Linked DNA regions of Arabidopsis thaliana. The protein of the gene in region 1 purifies or fractionates together with the protein of each later gene. This does not show direct contact. Each region holds a gene or a part of one and is shown in the gene's direction. Other genes may lie near its edges. The genes, in order: GAPA-2 and PRK.

Region 1 (15,754 bases):
TGTTGGCTCCTATTCAAGATGGATCTCTGTTTTTCCAAGTAACGCCAGACCGTTGCTGTAAGTCTAGTTTCTTCAATGACCGTTCACAATAATGCAATAATTTTTTTAGCATATTAGCTTGAAACTGTTCATATTTATTTCTTTTTTCTGATGCTATTTTTCAATCTTGTGTAAGGATGTTCAACATCAATTTCTCTGATAACATAAGTGCTGCATGGTCTTTCTGGTTTCAGATTATTTCTCGCAGGAGGGATTTCCGAACCTATTTGTTCACATGCTTGTGCTTCTGCTCTGCGTAAAATTTGTGAGGATGCTCCTGCTGTAATCCAGGAAACATCGAATTTAGATATCTTAATGTGGATAGGAGAGGTATCAGCTTAATCAGACCCTTTTTTTAACTGTCAAAGCAAACTTCAAATTACGCTGAAATTATATCCTGAATCATTATATTTATATATATTTTTTACTTTTCTTAGTGTTTGGAGCAGTGGGATTTGACCTTGGAAGATGAAGAAGAAGTCATTACCGCTATCACTGTGATCCTTGGCTCTGTTGCTAATAAAGAGCTACAAAATAAATTATTAACTCAATTGCTTTCGTCAAGTTATGGAGTTCTTTCGAAACTTGTAAGTGTTTATATTGTTCAGTTAGAAAGAGTTATTCTTCAAGGTTCTCCTTCTCATTCTTTTTCTTGTACAAGTAGCTCTTTGCTTTTGCTCTGCATTAATGAAAAAATAATCAGCTAATTGTCCACATACTTCTCTGAGGCCAGTATTCATCAATATCTCAGCTAGTAACTAGAAAAATAAATAGATAGTACAGAAATGATACCTGGAAGATGATCTTTTTCTTTCTGGGATTATTTTCTAATGTTTCCGTGCCTTGATGCACTTCTGAGATAGATTTGGACTAATACCTTTGTGGTTTTAGGTAGATGAAGACGCTGAGTCTTCTGGTAGACAAAGTCCAGCCACTTATACACGAATGCTGAGCTCTGTTACAAGAGGTCTTTACAGGTCTGCTTCTGTGACTGATCTATTTTCTATCCTGCTTAATTGCGATGTAATCTAGGAGCTTTTTGGTGAACTTTTTGCTGCGTCCGGACTTCAAGACATCTATAAATAACATTGTCATAATTTTGTGTTATATATATTTTTCTGGTAACCGGGCGCAAAATAGATTTAATGACTCTGATCAATCCATGGTCTTTAGTAGCTTGCACTCTCTGGTAGTTTTCTTTTGAGGTGTACTCAAATTTGGGAAGAATATCATATTGATGACTTTGCTCTTCACTCGTTTCATGAATCAGGATAGGAACTGTATTCAGTCACCTTGCAACGTCTCTGCCATCTGTTCCTGTGGCAGATGGTCCAATCCTTTCTTTGTTGACTGTTTTCTGGCCCATTTTGGAGAAGCTATTTAGGTCTGAACACATGGAGAGTGGTAGTTTAGCTGCAGCAGCATGCCGTGCTCTTTCAGTGGCAGTTCAGTCGTCAGGTTTCAAACTTCTCATCTCCCTATTTTATTCCGCTACATTCGACTCGTTGTGCCTTTATTAGCCTGGAACATTTCTTTATTCCAAAGCGTCCTTTACACCTGTGAAAATTTCTTGTTTTCGCACAGTAGGCAGGTTTCACTAACATGTGAAAATTTGCATTATTCACAGGTGAGCACTTTATGCTGTTACTACCTAGTGTACTGGATTGTCTATCGAGAAACTTTCTGTCATTCCAAAGCCAAGAATGTTACATAAGAACAGGTGAGGGTTTCTTAATTCAGGTACAGGCTCCACTTTTGGAGAAAAATCTTTTGAGATGCTAGCGTTGATTCATTTGTCACAGTTTTTATTGGCGAGCTTGGATAAATTATTTCCCAAACTTAGTTTATTGACCAGCCAGTTGTCTGAACTTCACCTTTTCACGAACTTGTTATCACAGCCTGTGTAATCGCCGAAGAATTTTGTCATAAGGAGGAATATGGGTCCTTATTTATCACTACGTTTGAAAGATTTACTCAAGCATCATCACTGATGGGCATAAATTCTTCATATATATGCGACCAAGAACCCGATTTGGTGGAAGCGTATGTGAATTTCGCATCAGCACTTATCCGTAGTTGTCATAAGGTTTGCAACCACTCTTTGCTTGTTAAAGTATAACTTTCAGTTCATAATTTCTTAAGGAGTCTTGGGGTGAATTTATATTGATCAAACAGGAGTTGTTGGGTACTTCTGGAACACTTCTTGAAATTTCTTTCCACAAAGCGGCTATATGTTGTACAGCTATGCACAGAGGCGCTGCTTTAGCTGCAATGTCATACTTATCAGGTAAGGTTGCAGTGGTTTACAAACGAAAACAGCATTAATTTTTGGTTATAAGCATACTTAACACAATGTTTTCGAACTTTATAGGTTTCTTGGAGGTTTCACTTTCTTCCATGATCGAAACCGTGAATAGCATATCAGATGGATCATTCAGCGTGGTCTCTGTCCAGGTCGTATCTCACTGTGGAGAGGGACTTTTGTCTAATCTGGTCTATGCTCTACTTGGAGTTGCAGCTATGTCAAGGGTAAGATTTTTGAGTAAGATCTCTCAAAAAGTAGTTGATGGATTATGATATTTGATTCTGTTTTTGTTTTAGGTCCATAAGTGTTCAACGATACTGCAACAATTAGCTGCAATCTGCAGTTTATGTGAGAGGACTTCATGGAAAGGAATGTTGTGTTGGAAATCTCTCCAAGGATGGCTAAACTCAGCGGTTTCTCTCTTTCTCTTGTGATCACATCAACACCAAACTCCGCCTCTGTGTTGTTTATTCTAATGGCTTTTTTTTGTTTGTTTGTATTCAGGTTTGGGCACTTCCGAGCGAGTATCTAAAGCAAGGAGAAGCAGAAAGCATAGTGAGGGAATGGTCAGAAGCTCTAGGAGGTGCAGGGATCGATTATCTTGAGAACAAAAGCTGCAATTTTGGAAGCAATAACAGTTCAGGAGGACATATGCAAGGGAAACACGGTCGAACATTGAAGCGATTAGTGAGAGATTTTGCGGATTCTCATCGAAACGATCCAAATCCAAACATCATATGAATAAATCAATCGATAAACTTTTTTTTTTTGTAATGTTTATTTTATTTTGTTGCCTTAATAATGAGGGCAATGATCCATCATCTTCTTCATTTCTGTCGATGCTCTGTTTCTAATGTACAGTAGGAGAGGAAAAGAAACCTCATGAAGAATCTTGAGCCATTTCTTTTAGATTCATCTGATGAGAAGGATAATAATATACATCCCATTGTTAACATTTAACTCTCATTTATTTATTTTGAATCTATGAGGCAAACCAATAAACGGCACGCAGTTTGAAGGCGTCTTGGTAATGTAGACTACAGCCAGTTCCACTTTTCACGTAATTGGGCCTTTTGAGTTAAGATAAAGCCCATTAGCTCGCTTTCCATGTGGTTTGCCACGTGAGTATCACGTGATTGGGTTGGGAGTTAGAATTTGGGGAAAACCCTAGGCCAGTCAATTCTGGGAGGAGAGAGGCCGCCGGAGGAGAGAGAAAAAGAGGTACGAGCTTACGTTTTGCTTGCTCGATTTCAATCTCTCTGCATAATGGATTCAATCTGTTCATCGTAATCGTTTATTCAAAAGTTTCGATCTTTACTTCACTTGAAACCAAAATTCGTAGTGTTGTGTCCGAAATTCACGCTGTTCAAAGTACTCATTTTTGAAACTTGATTTTGTTCTTCTTGTGTAGTTGGGGGATTGCTTTTTGATTTCTCCTTCTCCATCTTCGACCTCGAGAGAAGCTAAAAATGGCAGAAGAAGCGGATACGAACATCGAGATCTGGAAGATTAAGAAACTAATCAAGGGACTTGAATCAGCTAGAGGTAATGGAACGAGTATGATCTCTCTTATTATGCCTCCTCGTGATCAAGTATCTCGTGTCACAAAGATGCTTGGTGATGAATATGGAACTGCTTCAAACATTAAGAGTCGAGTCAATCGTCAATCTGTTTTGTCTGCCATTACTTCTGCTCAACAAAGGTTGAAGCTTTACAACAAGGTTCCTACTAATGGTCTTGTTCTCTATACCGGCACCATTGTTAATGATGACGGTAAAGAGAAGAAGGTGACGTTTGATTTCGAGCCCTTTAGGCCGATTAATGCTTCCTTGTACCTTTGTGACAACAAGTTCCATACTGAGGCATTGAACGAGCTTCTTGAGTCTGATGACAAGTTTGGTTTCATTGTTATGGATGGTAATGGGACACTGTTTGGAACTTTGAGTGGGAATACTAGAGAGGTTCTTCATAAGTTTACTGTTGATCTCCCGAAGAAGCACGGAAGAGGAGGACAGTCTGCACTTCGTTTTGCCCGTCTTAGGATGGAGAAGAGACACAATTATGTTAGGAAAACCGCTGAGCTTGCTACACAGTTTTACATCAATCCAGCTACGAGTCAGCCTAATGTCTCTGGTCTGATCCTTGCTGGTTCAGCTGATTTCAAAACTGAGCTCAGTCAATCAGAGTTGTTTGATCCTCGTCTTCAAGCTAAGATATTGAATGTTGTTGATGTTTCTTACGGAGGTGAAAACGGTTTCAACCAAGCGATTGAGCTGTCTGCTGAGATTCTATCCAATGTGAAGTTCATACAGGAGAAGAAACTGATTGGGAAGTACTTTGAGGAGATAAGTCAAGATACCGGGAAATACGTTTTCGGTGTGGAGGATACTCTAAAGGCTCTAGAAATGGGTGCTATCGAAACCCTTATCGTGTGGGAGAATCTGGACATAAACAGGTATGAGCTAAAGAACAGTACGACAGGAGAAATGGTGGTGAAACACTTTGGGAAAGATCAAGAGTCTGATACAAGCAACTTCCATGATTCAGAGACTAACGCGGAGCTAGAAGTACAGGAGAAGATGCCTCTACTCGAATGGTTTGCAAATGAGTACAAACGTTTCGGCTGCACTCTTGAGTTTGTGACTAACAAATCCCAAGAAGGGTCACAGTTTTGCAGAGGTTTTGGTGGGATTGGTGGTATGTTACGTTACCAGCTTGACATGAGGACATTTGATGAGTTATCAGATACTGAAGTTTACGAAGATTCTGATTAAAGTGGGAAAACTTTTGGTGATGGTTTCAGATCGATACAGTGAGGGAAAATGTGGCATAAAGATGGTCTTTTATCAACAAAGAAGAGAGATTTAAGTTTCTTGTTTTCTATAGAACATTAAAAAGCTTGACTCTTTCTTTCTGTTAGACAATTTGTGTTGTAATTTTTGAGGATTTTAAACATCTTTTTGTTGTTCTTCTGGTTTTATATTTTCCGAGAAAATCATTGGTGAAGAAGAGACGGAGATAACGATGTTAGCCATGTTACTCTGTTTTCCTTAAACGGTGTCGTTTTCGTCAATTATTAAAATAAACTGGATGACTGGAATATCCATTTGCTTTTGAGCGAGTGATAGAAGCGGAGGCGATTTTCTAGGGTTTTTGCTCGGAATCGATTTCACGATGGGAACGAGCAGCGATCCGATTCAAGATGGTTCCGATGAGCAGCAGAAGCGATCAGAGATCTATACATACGAAGCGCCATGGCACATCTACGCAATGAATTGGAGCGTTCGTCGCGATAAGAAGTATCGTCTCGCCATCACTAGCCTCCTCGAGCAATACCCGAACCGTGTCGAGATTGTGCAGCTCGATGAATCCAATGGTGAGATCCGTTCCGATCCTAACCTCTCCTTTGAGCATCCTTATCCACCAACGAAGACCATTTTCATACCTGACAAGGAATGCCAAAGACCTGATCTTCTCGCTACTTCAAGTGATTTCCTTCGTTTATGGAGAATCGCTGATGATCATTCCCGTGTTGAGCTCAAATCTTGTCTCAATAGCAATAAGAACAGTGAGTTTTGTGGTCCTCTTACTTCTTTTGATTGGAATGAAGCTGAGCCACGTCGAATTGGAACATCTAGTACTGATACGACTTGTACTATCTGGGACATTGAGCGTGAAGCTGTTGATACTCAGCTTATTGCTCATGATAAGGAAGTTTTTGATATTGCTTGGGGTGGTGTTGGTGTTTTTGCATCTGTTTCAGCTGATGGCTCCGTTAGGGTGTTTGATCTTCGTGATAAGGAACATTCGACGATTATCTATGAGAGCTCCGAGCCTGATACTCCTTTAGTGCGTCTTGGTTGGAACAAACAGGATCCTAGGTACATGGCTACTATTATCATGGACAGTGCTAAAGTTGTGGTGCTTGACATTCGTTTTCCGGCTCTTCCTGTGGTTGAGCTTCAACGACATCAAGCTAGTGTCAATGCCATTGCTTGGGCTCCTCATAGCTCTTGTCACATTTGTACTGCTGGAGATGATTCTCAAGCTTTGATTTGGGATATTTCATCCATGGGACAGCATGTTGAAGGTGGTCTTGACCCTATTCTAGCTTACACTGCTGGTGCTGAGATTGAGCAGCTTCAGTGGTCCTCTTCTCAGCCTGATTGGGTCGCAATTGCTTTCTCTACTAAGCTGCAAATTCTCAGGGTTTGATCTTTTCAAAGAATTTCTCATCTCTTGTCAGATTAGATTTTACTCATTTTCTATCGTATTAGGGGTCTCGTTACCCTTGTTACTATCCTCAAGATGTAAAGACTGTTCTCAATCGAATTAATGAATCTGTTTGATCTTGTTGCTATACTCAAGATGCAAAGCTTAGCACTGACTCTTATTGATGTATGATTGATAAGAAAGGATAATCCTTTGATCTAGATTTTTGCTTCATTGCTTTTTCTCTCGTAGCACAATCTTTGCAGTATGATCCATGGGAAGTGTGTACCTCAATTGTGGATGATTAGGTTTAGTTTTGTATTTGATTAGAGCTATGGACTGCTAGAGTTAGTTACACCTCTCAGTACCTATTGTATTTCTTGGAATAGCTTTCTATAAAGTCAATGCGCAAAACAAAAAGGTACAGAGACATAATGACACATCTTTCTTTGAGATTACAAAGACAAAATGTGTAATCTTTTAAATGGCTAAGAAGGAGCAAGAAGGGTCACACTTCTTAATGTGTCAGTGATTTTCATCTGCAGCATAGAGATGTCAGAAAAGCTATGTCGTCGAGTCACTAGATCAAATGTGACCACATGATGGAGAAGCCCATCCACTTGTGAAGCCCAAGTGAGAAAATCAAAAATATGTGTGAATCATAGAAAACGTGAAGAGGGAAGAGAGATAAAACCACAACCATACAAATGAATGACAAAGCTATCCAGAATCTCATCTTCTTTGCCTCCAACTCAGCAATTCATATTTTCCTATATTACAACTCTCTGCCTCTTCTGCTTACATCATACAACAAGCTTCTCTCTCTGGTAGCCATGGCTTCGGCTACTTTCTCTGTGGCCAAACCATCTCTTCAGGTTTTGTTTCATCTTCCTAACCACATTATCTGATTGCCCTTCACACAAGTTTTATCATCATCTCATAAATACTCTCATGTTTTACTTTTTCAGGGTTTTTCTGAGTTCTCAGGACTTCGAAACTCCTCTGCTCTTCCCTTTGCCAAGAGATCTTCTTCCGATGAGTTTGTTTCCTTCGTCAGTTTCCAAACTTCTGCAGTGAGTTCCTTTTTCACCCACTCCTCTCTATTGCTCCTGTGTTATATATCTTATGGTGCAATCTTGTAAACTCAAGAGCTGTTTCTTGTGTCTAATGCCACCATTGTAGATCTATCCATGATGAACAAGGCTGCATGGCATGATCAGCCATGATTAACCATATACGTTTTTTTTTTCTGTCTCTGTGTTGTAGATGAGAAGCAATGGTGGATACAGGAAAGGGGTGACCGAGGCCAAGATAAAGGTAGCCATCAATGGGTTCGGTAGGATTGGTAGGAACTTCTTGAGGTGTTGGCATGGTCGTAAGGACTCTCCTCTTGATGTCGTTGTCATTAACGACACTGGTGGTGTTAAACAAGCATCACATCTCCTCAAATACGACTCAACTCTTGGAATCTTTGACGCTGATGTCAAACCTTCAGGAGACTCAGCTCTCTCTGTTGATGGAAAGATCATCAAGATTGTATCTGATCGTAACCCATCTAATCTCCCCTGGGGGTAAGTTAAAACAACACTTCTCATATCATTTGAATTGAATCAACCCAGTTAGATCTAAACCTGGTGATGATGTTTAGGGAACTAGGCATTGACTTAGTTATCGAAGGAACCGGAGTGTTTGTTGACAGAGACGGTGCTGGGAAGCACCTTCAGGCTGGAGCCAAGAAGGTTCTTATCACTGCACCTGGAAAAGGTGACATCCCAACTTATGTCGTTGGTGTCAATGCTGAACTTTACAGCCATGAAGATACGATCATCAGCAATGCGTCTTGTACTACTAACTGTCTCGCTCCATTCGTCAAGGTTCTTGACCAGAAATTTGGTAAGCGTCTCATTGAAAGTCAAATGTTGCTATGTTGCAATCTTGTAAAAATCTGAGTAATATTGTGTTGTGTGTTAAACTTGTTAGGGATCATAAAGGGTACAATGACAACTACTCACTCATACACTGGTGACCAAAGGTTGTTAGATGCGAGCCACCGTGATCTAAGGAGAGCAAGAGCAGCAGCTTTGAACATTGTTCCAACATCTACAGGAGCAGCCAAAGCTGTGGCTCTTGTGCTTCCTAACCTCAAAGGAAAACTTAACGGAATTGCATTGCGTGTGCCAACTCCAAACGTTTCAGTGGTTGACTTAGTCGTGCAAGTCTCCAAGAAAACTTTTGCTGAAGAAGTCAATGCTGCTTTCAGAGATGCAGCTGAGAAAGAGCTTAAAGGTATCCTTGACGTCTGTGATGAGCCTCTTGTCTCTGTTGACTTCAGGTGCTCTGATGTATCCTCCACTATTGATTCTTCCCTCACAATGGTTATGGGAGATGATATGGTTAAAGTGATTGCTTGGTATGACAATGAATGGGGTTACTCACAGAGAGTCGTTGATTTGGCTGACATTGTTGCCAATAACTGGAAGTGAAGACTCAACAACCTCTTGATGTCTGCTCCATTATTTTTTACTGTTACATGATTCGGAATGTATAATTGTAGTTCCTGAGTTTATTATGTATTTGTGCTCTATAATTTATAGTAATAAACTTGATTCAAACATATTACATCCTCTGCTTAATACACAACTCTGGTTTGGGAATGCATTTGACACTAAAGAAAGATACAATACTTTTTATATTACATAAATTGAAGGATCGGTAATACAAGCTCACATAAGAAACTGTGGAGCATCGTCGTTGACATCTTTGAGAAAACTCTGAAGATAATTCCCAATGTAGTCATACTCAAAGCAGAGAGGTTCGTCGCTGAGAACTGAGCCAAACTTCATATGGTCTGCATTGTCATGTTCACCGACTTTGTCCTGATGACCGAATAAACTGTTTGACATATCATTAGGTAAAGAAATCTCTTTGCTTTGGCCAACATGATCACCATCATTATAACAATGTGAGAAAGTGTTAGTGAGATTGGTAGAAGACTCTTGTTTTTGAGAAAAAGAAGAAGAGATAGGATCAGCAACAAAATGGTTGTTTTCAAAAGGCTGATCTTGAAGAAGACAGAGACTAGAAGATCCCCAAGTCATATGAGGCTCCAAAGACTGTTGTGGATGTCTTTCTAAAGAGGTGTTTTCAGTGTAGAAGAAGTTTGTTGTAGCTAGAGAGCCGCTGATGGATCGAGCAGCAACGTCATATGCAAAAGCAGCTTCTTCGGCTGTATCAAACGTTCCAAGCCAATGTCTTTCTTTAGTAAAAGGGTTTCTGATTTCAGCTGCATATCTTCCCCATGGACGTCTCCTCACTCCAAGGTACTTCCCTTCTTGTAACTTCTTCTCTTCTTTGCTTTTTCTCTTGTTACTTGATTTCAACATGTTCACAATATTCAGAGATCAATGTTTCTCTCTCTTTAAGTCTCTTGAGCTTTGAGGTTCCTTATGCTGCTATATAAACTCTATATTGAGTAAGAAGAGCAAAAGAGTGTGTGAACTTGATTGATGCCTTTTTGGATTTGGCATTAAATTTAAGGAAACTGTTGGGAGTTCAAAAATTTAACTCCAAAGACTTATTTCTCCTTCGTAAACTGTGTCAGCAGAAACAAGGAAGTGTTTCATATTTTCTCTATTTTTGTCCTTTTGCTTAATATTTTCCACACTTTAGTCTGTGAGGTGATTCATATTAAGGAATGTATGGAGCAAAGCCAAGTTGTGACAAGGACATTGTCATTATAGACTCAGACAAAAACTGTACAAATGTCAAGAAACCTAACTAAACATGTGACATAAGCTTAGGGATTTGGATTCTTAAGTGTATTCAGTTGATTTTGAAGTCAAGCCTTAAGCATTGATTTGTGTGTGATTAGGTAATTTCTTCTATGTCCTTTGTCTTTTTGCATTTGGTGTCCCAATTGCATATAAAGACAACTCTATCTTTATCACTTCAAACAGACAGATATCAAGATTCAAGACAGATGATTTGAGATTATATCATGTCACATGTGTTGCAGTCACTTTACTTCTCATTTTTTCAATTTGTTTACGTTAGCTAAAGAATATGAAAAACTAGTTAACTACAAAACAGTACCAAGGATCTATTTGACTCTCCTCCTCTAGCTTTGAAGAATCATGCACTGTCTCTTCCTCTGTTCTCAATCTTCTTTCATCTTCCATTACTCTCAAAAACTCTTCAAGTGCTCTCTGCATCCACTCATACCGACAAAGCTCCAACGCTTCTTTAACAGTCAACTGCACATTTTCGAGTAATCTCAGAGTTAAAACATTGTACTTACTTATATGAATAACTACACATTTGAATCTTAAGCTTTACCCATCTTCGTTCACGATTCTTTCGCTCTGGCCAATCCTCGAGTTCTTCGGTAACTTTTAATGCAAACATATATCCTTTACATCCACCTAAACATTCATCCTCCACTGTGCTACTTTTGCTTCTAAATTCCCAAACTCCTAAAGGAAGTTCCTATAAACAAAAACATGACCAAAACACATCTAATTCAAAAAACTTTAAAATAGCTTTCTTAGTGTTTTGTTTAATAAAGGTGTAAACTTACTCTAAGTATTCCTTTAACTCCTGCTTCTTCAATGGCTTCACGAGAAGCAGCTTCAAGAACAGTCTCATCATCTTCCCATCCTCCCTGATAATAATATACACAACAAATTAACATGAGCAATTACAAATGATAGTACAGAGGATGATTTTTCAATTCAAAAAAAGACCTTTGGGAAGACAAGATCATGACGATTAGGAGATGAAACCATAAGAACTTCAAGTTTGTTTACAAAGTCAACACCTGAGTCTTCTTCAGTTTCGTCAGCTTTCATCAGCCTATAAGGAATGCATCTGTTCATAATGTATAGAGAAACAAACAACAAGAAAATCAACAATTTTGTTTTCTGATTTTTGGGGTTTCTTGAAAATTTTCAAGATTTGCAAGAAACAAAAAAACAAAACAAAATGATTTTTTGTTGTGTAAGTTGTTGGTACCCAGAAACGAGACGGAAGTTGTTGTCGTAACGTTGACGATCTCGTCCTGTCCGAGAAGAAAGAACCGACATTTGATGAATCTGCCAACACAAAAAAAATCAAAAGGGATTGAGACAACAGAAACAGAGAATGCTACTTTCTTGAAAAGCCCTGTTCTTGTTTGTATGAAACATGTTGATCATAGCCTAGCTTTTATGACGAATCCATATTCTTGTTTTGAAAATAAACAAATTTTCCAGAATTAACGAATCTCAAAAGTCACAAAAAAATAAAATCGTTTATATGAATTTTTTTGTTTGTTAAATAACTTGCTATTTTTGCGGAGAAGAATGAGGAGTTGTACCAACGAGCATTCACTGCTAACTATCACCTGTCTCTCTATATAATCAGTTTTAATATTTATACATGAAAATAAATAAATTATTTTTGTTAGAGCTCAAAAACAAGAAGAACCTTAAGAACGCAAATTCGAAGCAAGTCACTAAAAGGATCTGATTCTGTATTTGACTTATTACTGTTTTATCTCACGAGTATTCTCCACTATAGAGAAGAACTATTCGATAATTGATTCTATAAAACTTATCTTGAGACGTGTTTTAAACAAGACTGCTGAAAACCGAATTCATATAGGTTCAAACTTTCAATTCGTTTCTAGTGTCTTTTTTTTTTTTTTTTGTTGGGTCTTGGTTTTAGTTTTAGCCAATCAGAATTGTTTGTTAGCAAATCTTGTATTTTTTTCGTTTTTGCTAAAATCACTCAAATTAGAGAATAAATAAATTGTTTCTGAAAAAAATGTATTTCCATTTCCTTAGTCGAAATTGGCTTTTATTTCCTTTTCTATTATTTTAATTTAAACATAAATTTTGTGGGATGATAAACTTCCTTTTTCATAACCGGCTAATCCTTATCAATCCTTAACAGAGTAGAATTTGGAGATAAGTGTGTGTATAAAAAGACAAAACCAATTCACTCGTATCAATAAGAAGAAGAAAAACAATGGTCATGGATGAAGAAAAGCAAGCGATTGTATCATCATCATCATCATCACAAAGAAAGAGAAGATACAAGAAGCTAATGATTGCATCATCATCATTACCAGACGATGTCGTAGAAGAAATCTTCTTGAAACTTCCGGTCAAAGCCCTAATGAGATTTAAGTCTCTCTCAAAACAATGGAGATCGACGCTCGAGTCTTGCTATTTCTCACAGAGGCACTTGAAAATAGCCGAGCGATCACATGTGGATCATCCAAAAGTCATGATCATCACTGAAAAATGGAATCCAGACATAGAGATTAGTTTTAGGACTATCTCTTTGGAATCAGTTAGTTTTTTATCCTCTGCTCTTTTCAATTTCCCTCGCGGATTCCATCATCCCATCTACGCTTCTGAAAGCTGTGACGGAATTTTCTGCATTCATTCCCCAAAAACACAAGACATATATGTAGTTAATCCAGCAACACGTTGGTTCCGACAACTTCCTCCGGCTAGGTTTCAGATCTTTATGCACAAGTTAAACCCCACTCTAGATACTTTGAGAGACATGATACCAGTCAATCATCTAGCATTCGTGAAGGCCACTGATTACAAATTAGTGTGGTTGTATAACTCTGATGCCTCGAGAGTTACTAAGTGCGAGGTTTTTGATTTTAAGGCAAACGCTTGGAGATACTTGACTTGCATACCAAGTTATCGAATATATCATGACCAAAAGCCAGCATCTGCAAACGGGACGCTTTATTGGTTCACGGAAACATATAATGCAGAAATCAAAGTAATAGCTTTGGATATTCACACCGAAATATTTCGGTTGCTGCCTAAGCCTAGCCTTATTGCTAGTTCAGAGCCTAGCCATATTGACATGTGCATTATAGATAATAGTTTGTGCATGTACGAAACAGAAGGGGATAAGAAGATCATCCAAGAGATTTGGAGGTTGAAATCATCGGAAGACGCATGGGAGAAGATTTATACCATAAATCTGCTTTCTTCTTCTTATTGCCATTTCCATGTTCTCGATGGATATAATTTGACCAGATTATGTTATTGGACCCAAAAGGATTTGGTTGAGTCATCCACACCGGTGGCGATATACAAGGACAAGAAGATCATACTCTCACATCGCTATACCTGCAATCTGGTAAATTCCCAAACAGGATCTCTTTGCTCATTTTTCAGACAATTTTTGTGTTTAAGATCTGTTCCTTATTTTCCAAGTTTGATTTCTCATATTTAAATAAAATACTACTAATTATTTTGATGCGTTTTGAAGCATGAAAGAAAGAACTCATTGTATTTTTTACCGATTATGTGTGTTTTTATTTTTGCTTCCATTATACGTTTGTTGTTATTTAGAATGAACGAGGCTACACTTATATATCTTTTAGACATCAAAATCAAGACAAAGTTCAAAAAGCCTACTCATCATATCCAAAGATTCAAAATTTGCCTAGCAATTGCTCTTCTTGAGCTCATTGCAGAAAGTCAATGACATTAAGTTGATTACATATTTGAAATCTCTCTTTTGTTGGATCATATTATCACCTCATGTTTTTGGACATGTTGATTATCCAACAATGAACATGATTAAAATCATTAACCATCAGATATTCTTAAGGTGTTGCAAATGCATCAAGAAAAGCTTTGCTCATGAATTATGATTTCTCACTTCCCTATCTAGTAAACGACGTTGTAGAGGAAATCTTCTTGAGACTTCCTGTGAAATCACTAATTCGACTAAAGTCTCTCTCAAAACAATAGAGATGGATGCAAATTATACAAATAAGTGTGGTTTTATAATTCTAATGCGTCTCATTCTGATGCCACGAGTCCAAACGAAGGACTTACCAAGTGTGAGGTTTTTGATTTTAGGGTAAACGCTTGGAGGTACTTGAATTGCACGCCAAGTTATCGAATATACCATGCCCAAAAGCCAGCATCTGTAAACGGGACGCTTTATTGGTTCACAGAGCTATATAATGCTGAAATCAAAGTAATAGTTTTCGATATCATTACAGAAAAATTCCGGTTGCTGCCAAAGATAGTTCCCGCTATTGCTAGTTTAGATCCTAGCCATATATACACTCTGGATAATGCTTTGTGCATGTCGAAAAGAGAAGGAGATAAGCTGATCCAAAATATTTGGAGGCTGAAGAAATCATCAGAAGACACATGGGAGAAGATTTATACCATAGATTTTCTTTTAATTCTTACCAATTAGCCAAGTTTATCTGGTTCCATTATGTTTTTGTCTTTAACATCTTCAGTCGCCCACGGCACAAACCAAATCTTACTAAACTGAACCAAGCTCAGACATTTATAAAGAATATGAATTTTACATAGAGATTCATCTCTGTTCTGAAAAATTGATATATCAGAGCGTTTGCCTATGAATTGTGCATTTCTTAATATTTTGTTTAGCCTTTTCTCATGACAGACTCATGTGTGTTTTATCAATGAAAATCAACATTGCTCTCTTCTTGCAAACAACATATAAATGAAAAGCAAAGTAGAATTATTGAGAAACAATGGCATTTTGCTCAAAGGTTGCAACTATTGTTCCCCAAACACATGTTCTCATAGCTAAAATAAAACAGTTATCATCTTCCATACATGATTGAAATTGATGAAACTAAGTAAGAAAATTGCTGACTAAAACAGAACAAGGACTTAGATCTAGCTCTGTTCCACACAGATGCTTCCTTCTGCTTCGCAATCAAACCAAACCAGCGTAACCTGCTGTATCTAAAAGCACTGCTTTGATTTGTTCAGGTAACACGTCATGGTCTTCTTGACATTGCTGATTAGAAACACAAAACATGTTGTTACTTGTATACTAATCATTCTCTCAAATAACTATTCTTTGACTGCTAGTTTTACTAATCAGTGATCAGCATAGCATCTTAACAACTATATTACCTCAGCGCGGAAAACATCCAAAGCAAAACCATTGAAACAGCTAATCACCGCTTGTTGAACATCCAATCCTAAGTTATCCAAAGCTCTCATGGTGGAAAGTAAAAGACCTGGTCTACGTCCACAGAACATGTGTATGTTCACTGCCTTTCCTTCTCTTAATCTAACCTCAACCTATATCAAAACAAAGAAGCGTTACTAAGAAAATTAAAGAATACAGCTTTGTCCACTAGAAAGCAATTGAGCTTATTCTTACTCTTGGTTGTTGGCCTTT
Region 2 (16,133 bases), 7.1 Mb from region 1:
GTCTCGTATTACTATCGACCCAAACCCATCATATCATCTAATCCCGTTCAGTGAAATTAAACATATCTAATGGATTTCACCCGTGGTATAGCGTCTAGTATTTTATCGATCGAAATCCGTCTTACCATCTAACTCCGTTCAATGAAATTAAACATTATTTTGTTATTTTTGTTTTAAAAATACTTTAATTGAAAAGATATATAATTTAAATCAATTTAAAGTTTTTATTTCAAATGGTTATTTAATTGTTTAAAAGTTCATATATTATAAATATTATAAACCCGTCCTACCATCTAATCCCGTTCGGTGAAATTAAAAATTATTTTTTTGTTTTTTGTTTAAAATAATACTTTAATTAAAAAAATTATAATTTAAATCAATTTAAAAGTTTTTTTCAAATGATTATTTAATTTTTATAGATTTCACATATTATAAATATTCTAAACGTTTATTCCGTTAAATATTTTAAATGTTTAATTAACTATAATATTTGATCTTTTAATCAAGTATATTAATAATGTCCTAAGATTTTTCTTTTTTAAGTAATTAGAATTGATTGAGATATATTAGATAAGGAAATGCTATTAATTAGGAATATTAATTAATTGAAAATAATTAATGTCAATGGCATTCCTTGTAAATAAATTTCAATTTGAGGATTTATTTCATAAAATGGCTGCAAAAATATATATGTAGATTCATAATTACGTAGATTTTTCAAATTAGAAAACTAATTATATTCCTATGTCATAGAGATTTATAGTATTTATTATATTCTACAAGATTACTAATCCAATCAGATATTTTTTAAAACATTTCTTAATCAAATCTAACAAACCTACTTTATATATATATATATATAACATTATAAATATTGAATTAATATGTTTGAATTCGAAATTAGTTTCAATATTCAAAATTTATTTAAATAACTGTAAAAAACATTTAATTAAACCATCTTTTATTTTTGATAATTAAAATATAAAACATATTTTTAAACATTTAAAAATAAAATTAATTACATTTTTGGTTTGATATTAATTTCTGTTAATTAAATTAATTGAATTTTAATTTTGATAGCAACTATTTATTAAATATCAATTTTGATAGCATATATTAATTTCGGTCAAAAACATAATTTTCTCGCCATAAACGTAAATCCGTACTTTTTCCGCCAAAAAACGTAAACTCGTAATTTTCTCGTCAAAAACGTAAATCCCTAAATTTTTGCCAAAAACGTAAACCCCTAATTTGTTCGCTAAAAAAATATTCCATCCAAAATGTAAATCCATAATTTTCTCTTCGAAAATTATGAATTAAATTTTCAATTTTAATAATAATAATAATGAAAATTATTGATTATTGTTTGATAGTAATTATTAATTAAATTATTACTTAAATGAGTTATTCATTTAACCATTCAATCTATCGAATAAATAAAATGAGTTTATAAATTGACTAACTCAACCATTCAATTTATTAAATAGAATGAGTTCATAAATTGACTTAGATGAGGTCCGCCACTTTTTTAAAAACTGGGCTCGAAGCTTCCTCGTTGTTTCCTCTTTTGCCCCTATAAATACAAAAACTTCGAGATCCGAAGAAAAAAAACCCACCAACAATATAGATGTCTTCCTCCGGTAGTCCGGTACACAGTACCCTAATTTCTAACTCCGGCGATGAAAACACTGATCATTCCTCCGCAGTACACAAGCTTATCGCTGTTATCAACGGCGGAGCCATCGGTTTGCTGCAGATCACAGAGAATTCCTCAGCTTCAACCAATACTGCAGATCGTCAAGCCACTATCCTCTCTTTCTGTGTCTTTATTCTGATCTACGTCGTCCTCCGAGTCACTGAAGTAAAGCTCAATAGAAACCAAGCTCCGATCCATCACTTCGTTGGACACATCAGCCATCTTTTTGGGGCTCTTGCAGCTCTCATGCTCATCTCCATTGTTTCTCCCATCTTCACTCTCATCGTTGCCCCTCTATGGCTTGTTTGGTTCTTTGCTGTTATGTATGTCTTTTTAGTAGAGGTCATTTGCATGGTGGAGATTAAGCGTCCAGGGGACGCAAATCTTACGGACCAGATCTCTCAAGTATAGTAGTTTAAACGTAGCTTGAGATTCCGAGCATCAGGTTAATGTATTAGTAGTAATTTATACTTTATAGCATAAAATCATGTGTTTTTTCTTTCTAAGTTTTCGAACCCTAATCGTGTATATAATAAAAGAATGAGTCGGGCCTACTTTAAAGCCCGAAACAAATAACCAAAACGGCCCATATACTTCTTAGGGTTAGTTTCGTCAAAATACCAATAGTTCCAAATTCCGCGTTTCGTGTGGGAGAGAAAAAGAAGAAAAAGAGAGTCCAACCATATCAGTTTGCTTTCACAGTGGAGTCGGTGCTCTCTTTTTTTTTCTTCTCTCTTTCTTTTCACCTCTCGCCGGATCCCGGCGATCTTATAGGAGGCAAATCTATCAGTATCGTTATTCTAGGATCTCTAACAAACAATGAATCGCCACCACGATCCCAATCCTTTCGATGAGGACGAAGAAATCGTCAATCCTTTTTCGGTAACGTTTTCTCTTTCTCCCTGAATCTTCGATTTCTTTTCGTTTTTTTCTCTAGTTGGATTTTGTGTGTTCGCGACGGTAGTGGAATCTAGATCTCTCACTTGTTGAGTTTTTATTTAGTTTTGTGCAAATGGAAAATAGCAGAAACTGAGGACTGAGAACTGTGTAATGTCATTTTGATTACGGAAGGTTCATTTCTATTTGAAAATGATATTAACAGTGTTGAGATTATGGATCTCTCGATGTTTATTCGGAATACTGAACTTATATCTGTGGATCTGGAAACTAGGTTAAAAAATTTCTAGAAATGAATAGTGTTTGTGAGTAATTTCTTCCAATTTGGAGTGTGACTCATTCGTTTAGTTTTGGAGAATCAAACTCATTGTTGATTGATTCTTTGTGTTATTGGTGCTTGACGTTTGATAGTTTTTTGAATTTTAGTAACTTTTGATAAATTTTGCAGAAAGGTGGTGGAAGGGTTCCTGCTGCATCTAGGCCAGTTGAATATGGTCAAAGCCTTGATGCTACTGTTGATATTCCATTGGATAATATGAATGTAATGACATCAATATCTTCTAAACTCTTGAACCTTTCTAACTTGGATTTATCTAACATGTGTGTTTAATTGATGCAGGACTCTTCACAGAAACAGAGAAAGCTTGCTGACTGGGAAGCTGAGCTCAGGAAGAAAGAAATGGTTTGTACTATTTATAGGACTTTGTCAAATATATCGTCAATGTGCTTCTTAATTTTCTACTGATTGATGTTCTTTTGTGTAATTTCACCCAGGATATAAAGCGAAGAGAGGAAGCTATTGCTAAATGTAAGCAGATGACAACTTGATGACAATATTATTCACTAGTTTTGACTTTCTTTGAACTATCTCTTCAAATTTCGTGGTGGATGATAACTAACCATAGTCGTTTAATTGTGTTGCAGTTGGTGTGCAGATAGATGATAAAAACTGGCCACCGTTTTTCCCAATCATACACCATGACATTGCTAAAGAGATACCAGTTCATGCACAAAAGCTGCAGTATCTGGCTTTCGCTAGTTGGTTAGGTAAGGCTAATCTTGTTTTTCTGTCTTTTTTTATCACGTGTATCTAATGTGTTGAATTGTTGGGCTTGTATTTGACTGTTCGACTATTAAAATTTCAGGTATCGTTCTGTGTCTGGTATTCAATGTCATTGCAACGATGGTCTGCTGGATTAAAGGCGGAGGTGAGCCTACACTATATTACAATGTTTTATATTATGAAGGTAACTTTTTTTATGAGAATTTTGATTGGATTTGGTTCAACTAATGGTGGTTTTAAAATATCAATGATAGGTGTTAAAATCTTTTTCCTGGCCACAATATATGCATTGATCGGATGTCCACTCTCTTATGTACTATGGTACAGGCCACTCTACCGAGCCATGAGGTAATATTCCTGCTCACTGGTTCTCTTCCATTTGTATAAGTACAATTACAGGCGATATAATTGAAATACATTTTACGGCCTTGCAGGACTGACAGTGCTTTGAAGTTTGGTTGGTTTTTCTTCACCTACTTGGTGAGTTCATAAAACCTATTTATATCTTACCTTTAAGTAGATATACTTCCATTTTCCACATGATTGACCTGAGCTCCTTACAGATTCACATTGGCTTCTGCATCGTTGCTGCCATCGCCCCTCCAATCTTTTTCCATGGAAAATCATTAACGTAAGTCTTCCAATAATAGCCTACGTTTCTACTTGCGTTTGAGTGTACTCTTACTTCATATGTAGTTGGTTAGTCTGGTGAGGGCTTCAATTGGAAAGTTCTAAATTGTTCTGAAAGGTTTATTAATATTCAGTTGTTACAAAATAATGAGGATTATGACTACAAGTAGAAGTGAGAATCTAGCTGTGATTCACCTCTGTATGTTTTGTTGCCTTGAGATTAACTTAAAAACCCTTTCTCTTATTTCGATCAACAGGGGTGTGCTTGCAGCAATTGATGTCATCTCAGACAGTTTATTAGCTGGGGTATGAGCTATACACCTATTTTACATTTCATGACGACGCCTATAATATATTCAATGTGTCTAACCCTAATGAATGATGGCAGATCTTCTACTTTATCGGATTCGGTCTCTTCTGCTTGGAGTCACTGCTGAGTCTATGGGTTCTTCAGGTAAGCCTCTGATCATACTTTTCATGGCTTCTTCAAAACTGTTGACGTTGATGAAACCAGTAAACATTTGATTGATCTGGTTTCCCATTTTGGCTTTGCAGAAAATTTACCTCTACTTTAGGGGAAACAAGTGAAAAGGAGATAAAGAGGAAGATGATGGTAATTTTCCCTTACGATATAAGGTCTGAAATATGTGTATCTCCTATGAATGTAATTACCATTTTACCGTTTGATGCGTTGTGTTGATTGAGGTAAATTCTTTAGTTACTATAGTAGCAAGAGAGAGTGGTTGTTCGGCCATTTCTTTATGTTTTTTACTCTGTTCTTCTCTGGTCTGTAATATACCAATATCGTCTCTTAGCTTTTGGGATTTTTTTTCGGCGAAGTGGATGGACTATTTAGACAAAAAAAAATCATAGCTATGAATTATTAGTAGCGACTCTCTTCGGTCTGAATCTTAGAATCTGGTCCTTCTGATTATCATTGCGTATAACAAAGTATAGATGTTTCGATATGGCCGTGAACTTTATGAATTTTTTTTTTTGCAAACACCATGACTCGAGAGAGATAAAACTTCGTTAAATTCTTCTGTTGAGCAAAATAAGAACTTTTTTTCATTTGCAAACTCCATGAGTCAAAACTCAAAAGAGATTAAAGTAATTTTTTTGGAAAGATTTAATGTGAGTCCATAGTTTTTACTTTTTAACCTAACAAATTCTCTGACCCGTTATAGTTTCATGCTTGACATGGAAGTTGTATGGTGGTTGGTGGAGACTACGTTCAATGTGTCCAAGAATAAGCAACTAGTGCCGACTCTATCGCGGTCGATAAATAAACCATGGTTTTGTTTTTTTAATCCCGATGTAATCTCTTTTACTAATTACCCTACGGTGAAATTCATGAGTAATAAACTTCTGGTATCTGTTCACAAAAAAAAAAAAAAAAAAAAAACTCTTGGTGTCTTTATTAATTGGTAGGCTTGAAGCCCATTGTTAAGGTAACGCAAGAAGGCTTTGATCCCTATAGAAAAAAATAAAAGCATAAAAAGGTAAGTTGTTCAAAGACCATAAAGATTCGAAGCCAAGGGGGGATATACGGTGACGTGTAAATGTGACCCACATAATACTCTCTCCTTCATCTTCAGACCTTAAACACCTAATCCCCATCTGTCCAATTAGAATCTCCCACGTGTCAATTCAAATATCCAAATCCCAAAAAAATAAGCAAATAACCACCAAGCAACGTCTCCCTCCATGCCCTGTTAGTTTTATCACTTCATCGGCAACTCCACTCCTCTCCCAAACTCTATTCTCCAAATTATCTTTTAGCCAAAAAAATCAAACAAAATTACCATAAGTTTATTACTTCATGAAGTAAATAAGATATGATCTTTGGTTTTTTAATGGCTATAAATGTTTTCTTATCCTCTTATCTTATCAACAACATCTTAACATAGAGACTAATCAACATTACAAACAATTTTACTTCAAGAAACCAAAACATGAGCCAATCATCACACAACCACATTAAACCAAAACAAAACAAAATAAAACTCCTTTTCTTCTCTGCAAATTGCCATCTGTTTTTCCTATAGACCCATTGTCCTCCTCTCATTTCTCTCTTTCCCCATTTAATCTTATTTTCAAAAAAAAAAAAAATCACATCTCTATATCACCACACAAAAAACCATAAAATCAAAAATCGTTACCCACATTTCTTTCATTCTATCCTAAATCCTCATCACTCAACCTGAGCTCACAAAGCTAAACAAAAAAAAAAGAGCTTAGGCGGAGAAGAAGAGGAGACCAAAACACCAAACAAACAACAATGGCTGTCTCAACTATCTACTCAACACAAGCTCTCAATTCAACTCATTTCTTAACCTCTTCTTCCTCCTCCAAACAAGTCTTCCTCTACCGTCGTCAACCACAAACCAACCGTAGATTCAACACACTCATCACTTGCGCACAAGAAACCATCGTGATCGGACTAGCTGCTGACTCTGGCTGCGGCAAAAGTACCTTTATGCGGAGGCTCACCAGCGTCTTTGGTGGCGCTGCTAAGCCACCAAAAGGCGGGAACCCTGATTCCAACACACTCATCAGCGACACGACCACTGTGATCTGTCTTGATGATTACCATTCTTTGGATAGGTACGGTAGGAAAGAGCAGAAAGTCACCGCTTTGGACCCACGCGCCAATGACTTTGATCTCATGTATGAGCAAGTCAAAGCTCTTAAGAATGGTATAGCCGTCGAGAAACCGATTTATAACCATGTCACTGGACTTCTTGACCCTCCGGAGCTTATTCAGCCTCCTAAGATTCTTGTCATCGAAGGTCTTCACCCAATGTAAGCTACACATACTCTGTTATGATACTCTGTTTTGTATCTTAGACATACTCAAATTTTAGAGTTTGGAAGTCTCTTATCTTGTCGGAATTTCGATGATTAAGAATCTGGACTTAGATTTATACTAGAATCAGTATCAGAATAATTAAAGATGGATCTTTGAATCTATGCATGTAGTGTGTGACACCGATTAATTTTTATTCGAATAATTAAGTCTATAGTTTTGGTACTTGTAATGTTTTATAATAATATTTATCTACTTGTGAAGGTTTGATGAGCGAGTAAGAGACTTACTAGACTTCAGTATCTACTTGGACATTAGCAACGAAGTCAAATTCGCTTGGAAAATTCAGGTGAATTTCTTTGAATAATTCAACTACATTTACACCATTTTGTGGAACGTTTTCGGTTTATCTTATAAAACTGAATCTGTAACGTTTTTGATGGTCACAGAGGGACATGGCTGAAAGAGGTCACAGTTTGGAGAGCATCAAAGCGAGTATCGAAGCCCGAAAGCCCGACTTCGATGCATTCATCGGTAACACTCCTAATTTCTTGATGTAACCCCGTGTCATATTCGGCTTGATCAGTTTATAATATTTTCAATGGCTTATACAGACCCGCAAAAGCAGTACGCGGATGCGGTCATAGAAGTGCTTCCTACGACTCTGATCCCAGATGACAACGAAGGGAAAGTGTTGAGAGTGAGATTGATAATGAAGGAAGGTGTTAAGTACTTCAGCCCGGTTTACCTGTTCGATGAAGGTTCAACCATCTCGTGGATTCCTTGCGGCCGCAAACTCACTTGCTCGTACCCTGGCATCAAGTTCAACTACGAACCTGACTCCTACTTCGACCATGAGGTACATTCATATTGCATAATGACATATTGTGAGAAATGAATGAAAATGCATGTGTATGAGAATTTAGACTCATTGCATATATCTCCCTTTTTGTTTCTCTCAGGTATCAGTTTTGGAGATGGATGGACAATTTGATAGACTGGACGAGCTGATTTACGTGGAAAGTCACTTGAGCAACCTCTCGACCAAATTCTACGGAGAAGTCACTCAACAAATGCTCAAACATGCTGATTTCCCGGGTAGCAACAACGGTACTGGTCTTTTCCAAACCATTGTTGGATTGAAGATCAGAGATCTCTATGAGCAGCTCATTGCCAACAAAGCCACTGCTCGTGCAGAAGCTAAAGCCTAAAACAAACGAAGCGAAGCCAAATAGAACGCGTCGATAAATACATCCGCAGTTTCTTCTTTTTCTTATTTCTTTCTTTCTTTATGCGTTGTTTACCGCGGATTTTCATGGCGAAAAGGACGGTCTTGCTTGTTTGTAATTTGTGTGGAGATAAAAAGAAAAAGCCTGTAATGTAGAGAAGTGAATAGCAGAGCAATAACAGTTCAGTTTATAGAACGCCTTCAAAATTTGTTCTTTACAGCATCAAAGTAGATTCAAACCACAAATCAACTAAGCAAAAGAAAGAACAGTTTTATCCTATTGATCATACTCATGTTGAATACTTGAATGTCAAATAGCTTTTGGATTACAAATTACACAGTTCAAACTTCCTTATAGATTCCATATAAGAAAGCAAAGAAATTATACATACAAGTAACAATCCCATTTTCTTGCAATCACCAAGTACTACTTTGGGTACCAAAACATGCCTTTGATGCCTTCTGGATCAGCCTCAAACCCCAAGTTCTGATAGAAATCCACAACTACAAAAAAGGAACACAGATTCAACAACTAAGTAAGAACAAATCCAAATATTTTGACCACAAAAATTGCAGATTAAACAGTGATTCGATGTTTTACCTTGACTATCTGCAAACAGAGATATGTTACCAATATCTCTTTGAAGAAGAGCCCTTACAAGTTTTTCAACAAGAGCTTTACCTAGCCCTTGACCCTGAAACGTGAAAACAAACACAAACACCAATTAACATCAAACACAAAGCATTTATATTGGCAAGCAAAAACTAAATGCAAAAACCATATCATTTGTTTTGATTAACCTGATATTCAGGATCAACAAGAACATCCCAAATTGTAGCATTAAAGGCATGATCCGACGTCGCACGTGCCATACCAATAAGCTTCTTCTCCTGCTGCTTCTCCCCATCCCCGCCTTCTGTGTCAAATAACTTCTCCAAAATCCGCTAAGATGTTCATCAAAACATCCTCTTTGTATATATATACACATTGCTTATAGTGAGTCAAGAAAAGTGTTATACTTAGTTATAAGCACCTGATGAATCTGAATCTGATGATGACTTCATTACAGAATGCAAAGTAGCAACCATATAACTATTCTTCAAAGCAGCAGCTAGTTTCACTAACGGTCTCCTTGGCCATCCCACCTATATTTTCCCATAAGATAACCATAAATGAGAGTTTTTGAAGTATCATCAAGCATAAACAGAGCACAGGAGTAGTGTTTTAAACTACCTTATCACAAAGACCTTGAAGATCATAAACATCAATCTCACCACCAGAAGAAAATATGATCTCTTCAACTAAACCATCTTCAAGATTTCTCTCAACTAAAGTAAATTCCACAGGTAACAATGGCTCAGTCTCTTCTTCTTCATCATTGACTATAGAAGGTGGTTCCACAAGTTGCGTACTATTATTATTCTTCACAAACCTGCAACAATGGTGTGTTATAGTATCAGCCCCTAATTTCTCATATGAGTAAGTAAAGTATGAAGCTTTTTCAGTACCCAGATCGGATTGACTCCCAGAAATTGGCTCTGAGTCGCAAAGTCTTCAACTTTCTACTTCCTGAAGAACAGAATTGTAATCTCAACTCTTGATACGAAGACCCAAATCTTCGAATTTGAATTGTGAAATTGAAAAAAAAAGTCAACAGATTGATGAAGGATAAGTACCATGTTGAATTGGGAATGTGAGATTGGAGAAAAACAGAGAGTGATGATTCGATGGATATGAATTAGGAGGAGGGCTACTACAACAAAGACGATGTTAGTAATATGGTTAAGAGATGAGAATTTGAATGTTAAAAAGGAGGAAACTTACATAGACGAAGACGAAGAAGAAGAAATTGGGATTAGTAGCATTTTTTATTGGTTATGTGGTTGAGACTTGAGAGTAGAAGAAATATCAGACAAGAAGAGAGTTTAGCTTAACACCTTCCATTGGGGCTTTGGCCCTCGTCATCGACTTTTGTTATTTACGCTTTTGCCCTCTCCCTTATTTTTGTTGAATTCATCAATTTGTTTGTAAAGGATTGTTACTGGGGACTTCTTATAATTTTTTTTTATCACATACAAGATGAAATTGAAGACAGATTTTTCTGTTTGACAGAAAAGAAAAATAAAGAATACATAAATTTCTAAATTAAAATATTTATATTCACATTTTAAGAAAAGTGAAATGTAAATTTACCAGCATATCAAAATCTATTATCATTTTATAAGATTTTCGCAACCAGTTTTGTTTCGGTTTTGTTTTTCCTGGATCGGTTAGCAATTTATATATATATATATATATATATATATATAAATGACTATTCAAAATAATCTTAAATTTATCCATTTTCATAAAATCTTAAATTTTTAACATACTTTGGTTCTAATAATCAAATTATTAAAATAATCATTCAAAGCAAATAAAGAGCCGTGGAAGCTTTAGAATATTTGTTTCTAACATTTCTTAATATACTTCATAGATCACTATTGGTTGGGATTGCAAGTATGAAGCTGCTATCAAAACTGATCATTGGTGCTATGAGGTACTTCCAGTGATAGATTTGGGCTTAACATGACATTCCAACCTAAAATCAATTGGCAATAAGTAGAGTGACTCTAACTCTTTATATACTACTTGATACTAACCCCAACTTCCAATGTGAAACTTTCTTCATTAACAACTAGCGTCTCAGTCTCAGCCAATTGCTAGCGCCTTCGCCAAGTCCACGACTAACGGCCTTCGAGGATATGTTGCTGAATCTATTGTTTCTCCTCATTTGGCCTTCAACATTAACTCCATCAAATGAATCTTCAACCTGCTATTACTATATGAGCAATTATTGTCTAGTCAACGTAACAAACTCAACTAGAGGACGAAGTTTTCATCGACAAATCTCATCTTCCTCAAATGGAGACAATATACCTTTGTGACAAATTTTTGGAAAGCTGGGACATCCTACTCCTATATAAAATTTATGTATGTTGTACAAATCTCACAACATTTACATATATAAAATAAAATAAATAAACATTTTCCATCATCTTTTTCATTAATACAAGCTTATTTGACATCCAAAGCAAACTGCTCTCATATTTTAAGTAACTCGCCAGCTTTGAGACCATCAATCGTGTTTCGCCACATCATCAATCCTCAGCCGACGACCGCTAGCAAACTCTGTCGGACGGCAGGAACAGAACACAGTAACGATCCGAAGATTCCGGTAAGAGCATAAGCTATTGCACAAAAGGGAAGAGCCTCTGGCTCCTTAGCCGACAAAGCTGCTGTTCCAAGTCCATGAGCACTGTCCATAAAAAATAGAAAGGTCATGTCTTTTGATCCTAATGGCATTAATGCATAATTTTAATTCAAAATGTGAAAGATCTTTTGTAATGGAGTCACCTTGAAGCAGTTGCAATTCCCCGAGCAATTGGATCACGTAAACGCAGTTTGTCAAGAACAACTTGTACAAAGTTAGCTCCAATCAGACCAGTCACAACGACTACAGCTGCTGTAAGAGACGAATTGGTCCCTGAAAATGTCCAACAAATTCGTTAGGGATGTTCTTTAATGTGTTGAGAAGAAGAAGAAACATATATACCTTCAAAGAGTGATACAATGCTAAGGGCCAATGCAACCGTGATGCAGCGAGGTAGGATTGAAACCGTTAAAGAAGGTTCTAAACCGACTAAACGTCCAACAAGAGCAGTGGAGTAGAGCGAGAATACCGTTGAAACTATCACAGATGTGAAGATCTCAGCTGCGTGCCTCTTCACGAGCTGAAGAAGACAGAGGCAAACCAAAGCGATTGTTACCAGTTTTCTAAAGCAAAACAGAACAAGTTTGTTGTTTGTTTTACCTTTCTTTGTTTGAACATGGAGAAAGCGAAAGAGAGAATGACAGAGCCAAGAAAACCCATTAAGATGTCACCAGCACCAGGATCTGATGCTACTTTGGTAAGGTAGTTTCCTGTCACCATTAAAGAGCAGTTAACAAAATGCTTTTACTTTCTGTTTTAGGTCAAAAAAGGGTTTCTCTATAGTTTCTTTCATAGTGAAGGTAACTTTACCTAAAACAGGATCAAGTCCAGATCCTGAAGCATACCCAAAAGCTAGAGCAGCAAGTACTGCAGATAGCGCGCAGCAGATTATCGGATGGAAAACTTTCTTAATAGAAGATGGCAACCTGGAAGAAAGAAAGATAAGACACTGAGAATAACCGCGAGATAGAGAGGCTTAAAGATGGAGAACAAAGAAGGGTTTTTGAATATTACCCAGAACCTACAATGTAACCTAGCACAGTTGAAGAAAGAAGGAAAGGGAGAGAAGTTCTTGCACTTGTCCCCAATGAATTAGGGTAAAACAGAGCACCAACAAACGACACAACAAAGATTCCACTCCAACTCCATAGCTCAAGTGTTGAAAATGGTGATGGTTTTGCCATAGGCTCGGCTTCCGTCATTTCGGTTTTCACCATTTTTCTCACTGCAATAGCTGTGTACCCTGCTACACAAAGTGACGCCAACCATCCACCGGCTATACAAACAAACATTCAAATCAACATTGACATCAGATCAGCATTAAATAATAAACAAAACAGAGCAATTAGACAAAAAACCCATAAAAGCTACCAGAGAACACAAGATCATTAACCAAGTGAAGATCAAGTTCATACCTACAATGTAGCAGATTTTGACACCTGAAGCAGCCGGAATATCTCTAACAGAAAGAGGAAGAACAACAAGAGAAGGAACATAGAACAAAGGAAGCCATCTTTGGATAAACAGAAACGCAGGCTCGAAGAAATTCATCAAACCATTTGCAGCAGCAGGAACAACCGAATCAAATATCATAAGAACAGAGAAAATACAGAACATCCCAAACAAAGCACTTGGGAACTTAATAGACGCTGCTACAAACGCCTGCTTCAAGAAATAGTCTGCAGCAAGAATGATCCCAAGTGATACCAACAAGTGACTTATCGCAATTACCTGAACGAAAAATTCAAAACTTTAAAAAGCTGTTACAATAAAATGGTAAATAAACAACATCGTGAAGCTTACGTTACGAGAGATCGTTGATGTGTTTCCTGTTCCTGCACCATCCATAGCTTGGACTGAGAGTTTTCTCTCAAAGTTCATCTCTTTAGAAGAACCCATTTGTAGAAATCTTTGGCCATCGGGTTTACGGAATTTTGAGAGATTCAACTTCTGGGCACCATCAGAATTGAGAATTTTCCCATTTTTGGAACCGAAACGGATCTTAGAGCAAGAAAGACGGTTCCTTGCTGGAGAAGAAGCTAAAGGAGAGAAGATAGGAGTGGCTAAAAGAGTAGCCATGGGTATGGAGACGACGACGTGGATGTGATTCTAAGAGACGGCACATCATAGTCTTCTCCATCTTCGTTAATGATGTTTGTGATTGAAATTGGATTACGATATTTGTATGGACAAGAGAGAAAGTTCTATCGACAAGAGGATCCAGTTTTGTCTTTTTCCGGGTTAGGTTTTTCCGTTAAGAAAGGTCTTTTGTCTACTTTAATTTAATATTAATATAGTTTTTGATACATCTTTTTTATTAGAGTATTTTCTAACGTAACTTTTATCATATCCAATAAACCAAATTTTACAATTACAATAGGCTTGAAAGATGACAATAAATTAAATCTTCGAATATATTTTCATACAAGTGAATGACACTAACACCAATTTCCTAACCTTTAAAACCGAAACCAAAGTCAGCTAACAAATAACCTAAACCTAGACCAAAAGAAACCTTTAGTTATGACACTCATAAGAGATTACATATTTTTCTTCTGTCTAGAGATCAATTGTAACGGTACTCATGCTCCTCGTACTGATGAGTATTGTAGTGATATTCATACTGAGACGATGACTGCTCATAAGCTGAAGCGTAGTGAGAAGAAGGGGAAGTGGAATTGTAGACATGATGGTGATGGGAAGAAGTACCGAGCTCTGTCACAGGACTAGACGACTGTGTTTCATGTTTGTCCACTCTTACCTCTGGTGTCTCTTCTTGGTGAGTCTCTTTTTCTGATGATGATGATGATGATAATTCTACTTCTTTCTCGAATGAATGGAAAATTGGGTGCAAGTAAGCATCTGCAAGATCTGCTTTCATGTTCAACTCCGGTTCTGTTTCCTTCTCTAACTTGTCTTTCGCCATTGCTTCCTGTTAAGACCAAAAACACGGGTCTTTGTAAGAAGGCTTTAAACCTTTTTTTTTTAGGAAGAGAGCCCAAAAGATTCTTTATTTACCTCAAGAGGGTATTGTCGAAAGGCAGGTTCGAAGCGGTGTTTGCAATACTTGTGGAAAGAAAGTGTGAGAATGGGTAAGATGATAAGCAATGGAGTTGAGTCAGCTGCCTTTTTAGAAGCCAAAAGTCCCATTAGCAGAAGCTGAGATATCAACAAGCTTGCGATTATCCGGCCATGAACGTGCGGCCAAAACGCTCCACAACTCTCGTATTGTTGGTTGTAAACATTGATTATCTGCATTGTAAACCAAGAAAGCACCATCAAGAAAACCCAAAATTTAGCGGAGAATTAGATACGACGGGTGATTGGGTATGAAACCGAACCTGATGGCGATAGACCAAGTAAGCAAAGGCAAAGAATATGAGAATGAAAGGAAGAAGAATGGGAGTAACAGCAGTGTAGACAATTCCCAAGAGGAAGTAGAGCTGGAGAGATGGGATAGTCTCCTTGAAATCGACAAAACCAGGGTCCATTGCTCTCACTCTATCTTCTTCAGTCTTCACAATAAACATGTTCTTCAAGTGGAAAATCACGAGGGGCTTTAACCGGAGAATCTCACCTGCAATCCCAGCCCATCCGTCAACCATTATGTATGTGATAAAGAATGTAGCTTTCATCGGTATGGAGACCCCAATGGTTCGAGGAATCCTGCATAAACACAATAAACAAGAGCATTTAAGATATGAGTTTTAATTCAAAGTTAGAATCTTTAGACGGTTAATAGAAGTAAAAGGTGGTTTACTGAGATGGTGATTGGTGAAGGAAAGAGTGCAGCTGCTCAAACGCGGTTCCAGCAATGATACTTCCCAAGAACACATTAACTAACATGAAGTAATAGTACTTTGCTGCTGCTCTACGCTCAAGGGTTGATAAAGCGATGTATCCCTCAATCTTCGACATAATTAGCAGAACCGTAGGGAGAATCCACAAGAAAATTTTCAGCGCAAGACCGGGGAGGAAACCCTGTAAGAATGACTTGATGAAATCCCTGCAATAAATACCAAGGAGAGGGATCAATGGTCTAACATACCAAGAAGCAAAAAACCGAGATAGATGGAGAGACTTACAATCTAGTAACAGGTCTGAGGAAAGGTGCAACTCTGTCAAGACCTTCTAAATTGGCAAGAGATTGCACGAAGGCGATAGGAATCATGTAGAAAAAGACCAAGGCAAAGACTGAGACACCAATTACGAGTTTCCGGATGGTTAAAGAGATAAAAGGTATAGCAAGGTTTTGCCAATAGATATCACGAGGCTCTGGAGCACTACTCGTTAACCATAATGTCGGATTCTTGCTCTGCTGCGTCTGTGCACAAACAGCAGCACCCCATCGTGAATCAAACGACACAAATGCAACAGGAAGCATTAGCTTGGAGTCCTTGAGAACTTTTTGACGCTCCAAAGACATCTGTATCACCAAAGATGAAACGAGGTTTAAGTTTCTGTTTCAGCAGTAACTTAAAAAGCAAATGAATGGCTTACATTGTGGTCAAACTCCTTGATTTGTTGCTTGTAGTACTCAATGGAATCAACCCTCT

What was found.
Region 2: the proteins of GAPA-2 (region 1) and PRK fractionate together in Arabidopsis thaliana (co-fractionation; one large-scale study listed by BioGRID). This does not show direct contact.

Annotation. Positions count from the first base shown.
Region 1 is NC_003070.9:4,385,919-4,401,672, reverse strand, and holds GAPA-2 (glyceraldehyde 3-phosphate dehydrogenase A subunit 2), read left to right. Parts: upstream 1-7,218; 5' UTR 7,219-7,263; coding exon 7,264-7,431; intron 7,432-7,524; coding exon 7,525-7,629; intron 7,630-7,776; exon of another isoform or gene 7,777-7,822; coding exon 7,823-8,127; coding exon of another isoform or gene 8,128-8,131; intron 8,132-8,204; coding exon 8,205-8,449; intron 8,450-8,536; coding exon 8,537-9,039; 3' UTR 9,040-9,235; downstream 9,236-15,754. Other genes in the region: AT1G12930 (ARM repeat superfamily protein), read left to right, coding at 1-57, 234-369, 477-626, 931-1,016, 1,310-1,497, 1,667-1,759, 1,938-2,125, 2,215-2,326 and 3 more; ERF1-2 (eukaryotic release factor 1-2), read left to right, coding at 3,814-5,118; ATAN11 (Transducin/WD40 repeat-like superfamily protein), read left to right, coding at 5,519-6,559; AT1G12890 (Integrase-type DNA-binding superfamily protein), read right to left, coding at 9,280-9,939; NUDT12 (nudix hydrolase homolog 12), read right to left, coding at 10,627-10,809, 10,892-11,041, 11,133-11,216, 11,299-11,422, 11,567-11,637; AT1G12870 (F-box and associated interaction domains-containing protein), read left to right, coding at 12,563-13,705, 14,437-14,544; SCRM2 (basic helix-loop-helix (bHLH) DNA-binding superfamily protein), read right to left, coding at 15,281-15,364, 15,484-15,654, 15,737-15,754.
Region 2 is NC_003070.9:11,526,101-11,542,233, forward strand, and holds PRK (phosphoribulokinase), read left to right. Parts: upstream 1-6,098; 5' UTR 6,099-6,567; coding exon 6,568-7,091; intron 7,092-7,359; coding exon 7,360-7,444; intron 7,445-7,544; coding exon 7,545-7,629; intron 7,630-7,709; coding exon 7,710-7,954; intron 7,955-8,057; coding exon 8,058-8,306; 3' UTR 8,307-8,539; downstream 8,540-16,133. Other genes in the region: SCAMP5 (SCAMP family protein), read left to right, coding at 2,516-2,578, 3,042-3,134, 3,213-3,275, 3,368-3,401, 3,518-3,640, 3,739-3,801, 3,911-4,004, 4,091-4,136 and 4 more; NSI (nuclear shuttle interacting), read right to left, coding at 8,751-8,827, 8,925-9,018, 9,125-9,240, 9,358-9,469, 9,558-9,756, 9,833-9,893, 10,001-10,077, 10,149-10,189; LrgB (uncharacterized protein), read right to left, coding at 11,472-11,622, 11,721-11,850, 11,920-12,097, 12,178-12,287, 12,388-12,503, 12,592-12,853, 12,993-13,308, 13,381-13,656; AT1G32090 (early-responsive to dehydration stress protein (ERD4)), read right to left, coding at 14,144-14,509, 14,596-14,829, 14,919-15,243, 15,338-15,583, 15,663-16,003, 16,078-16,133.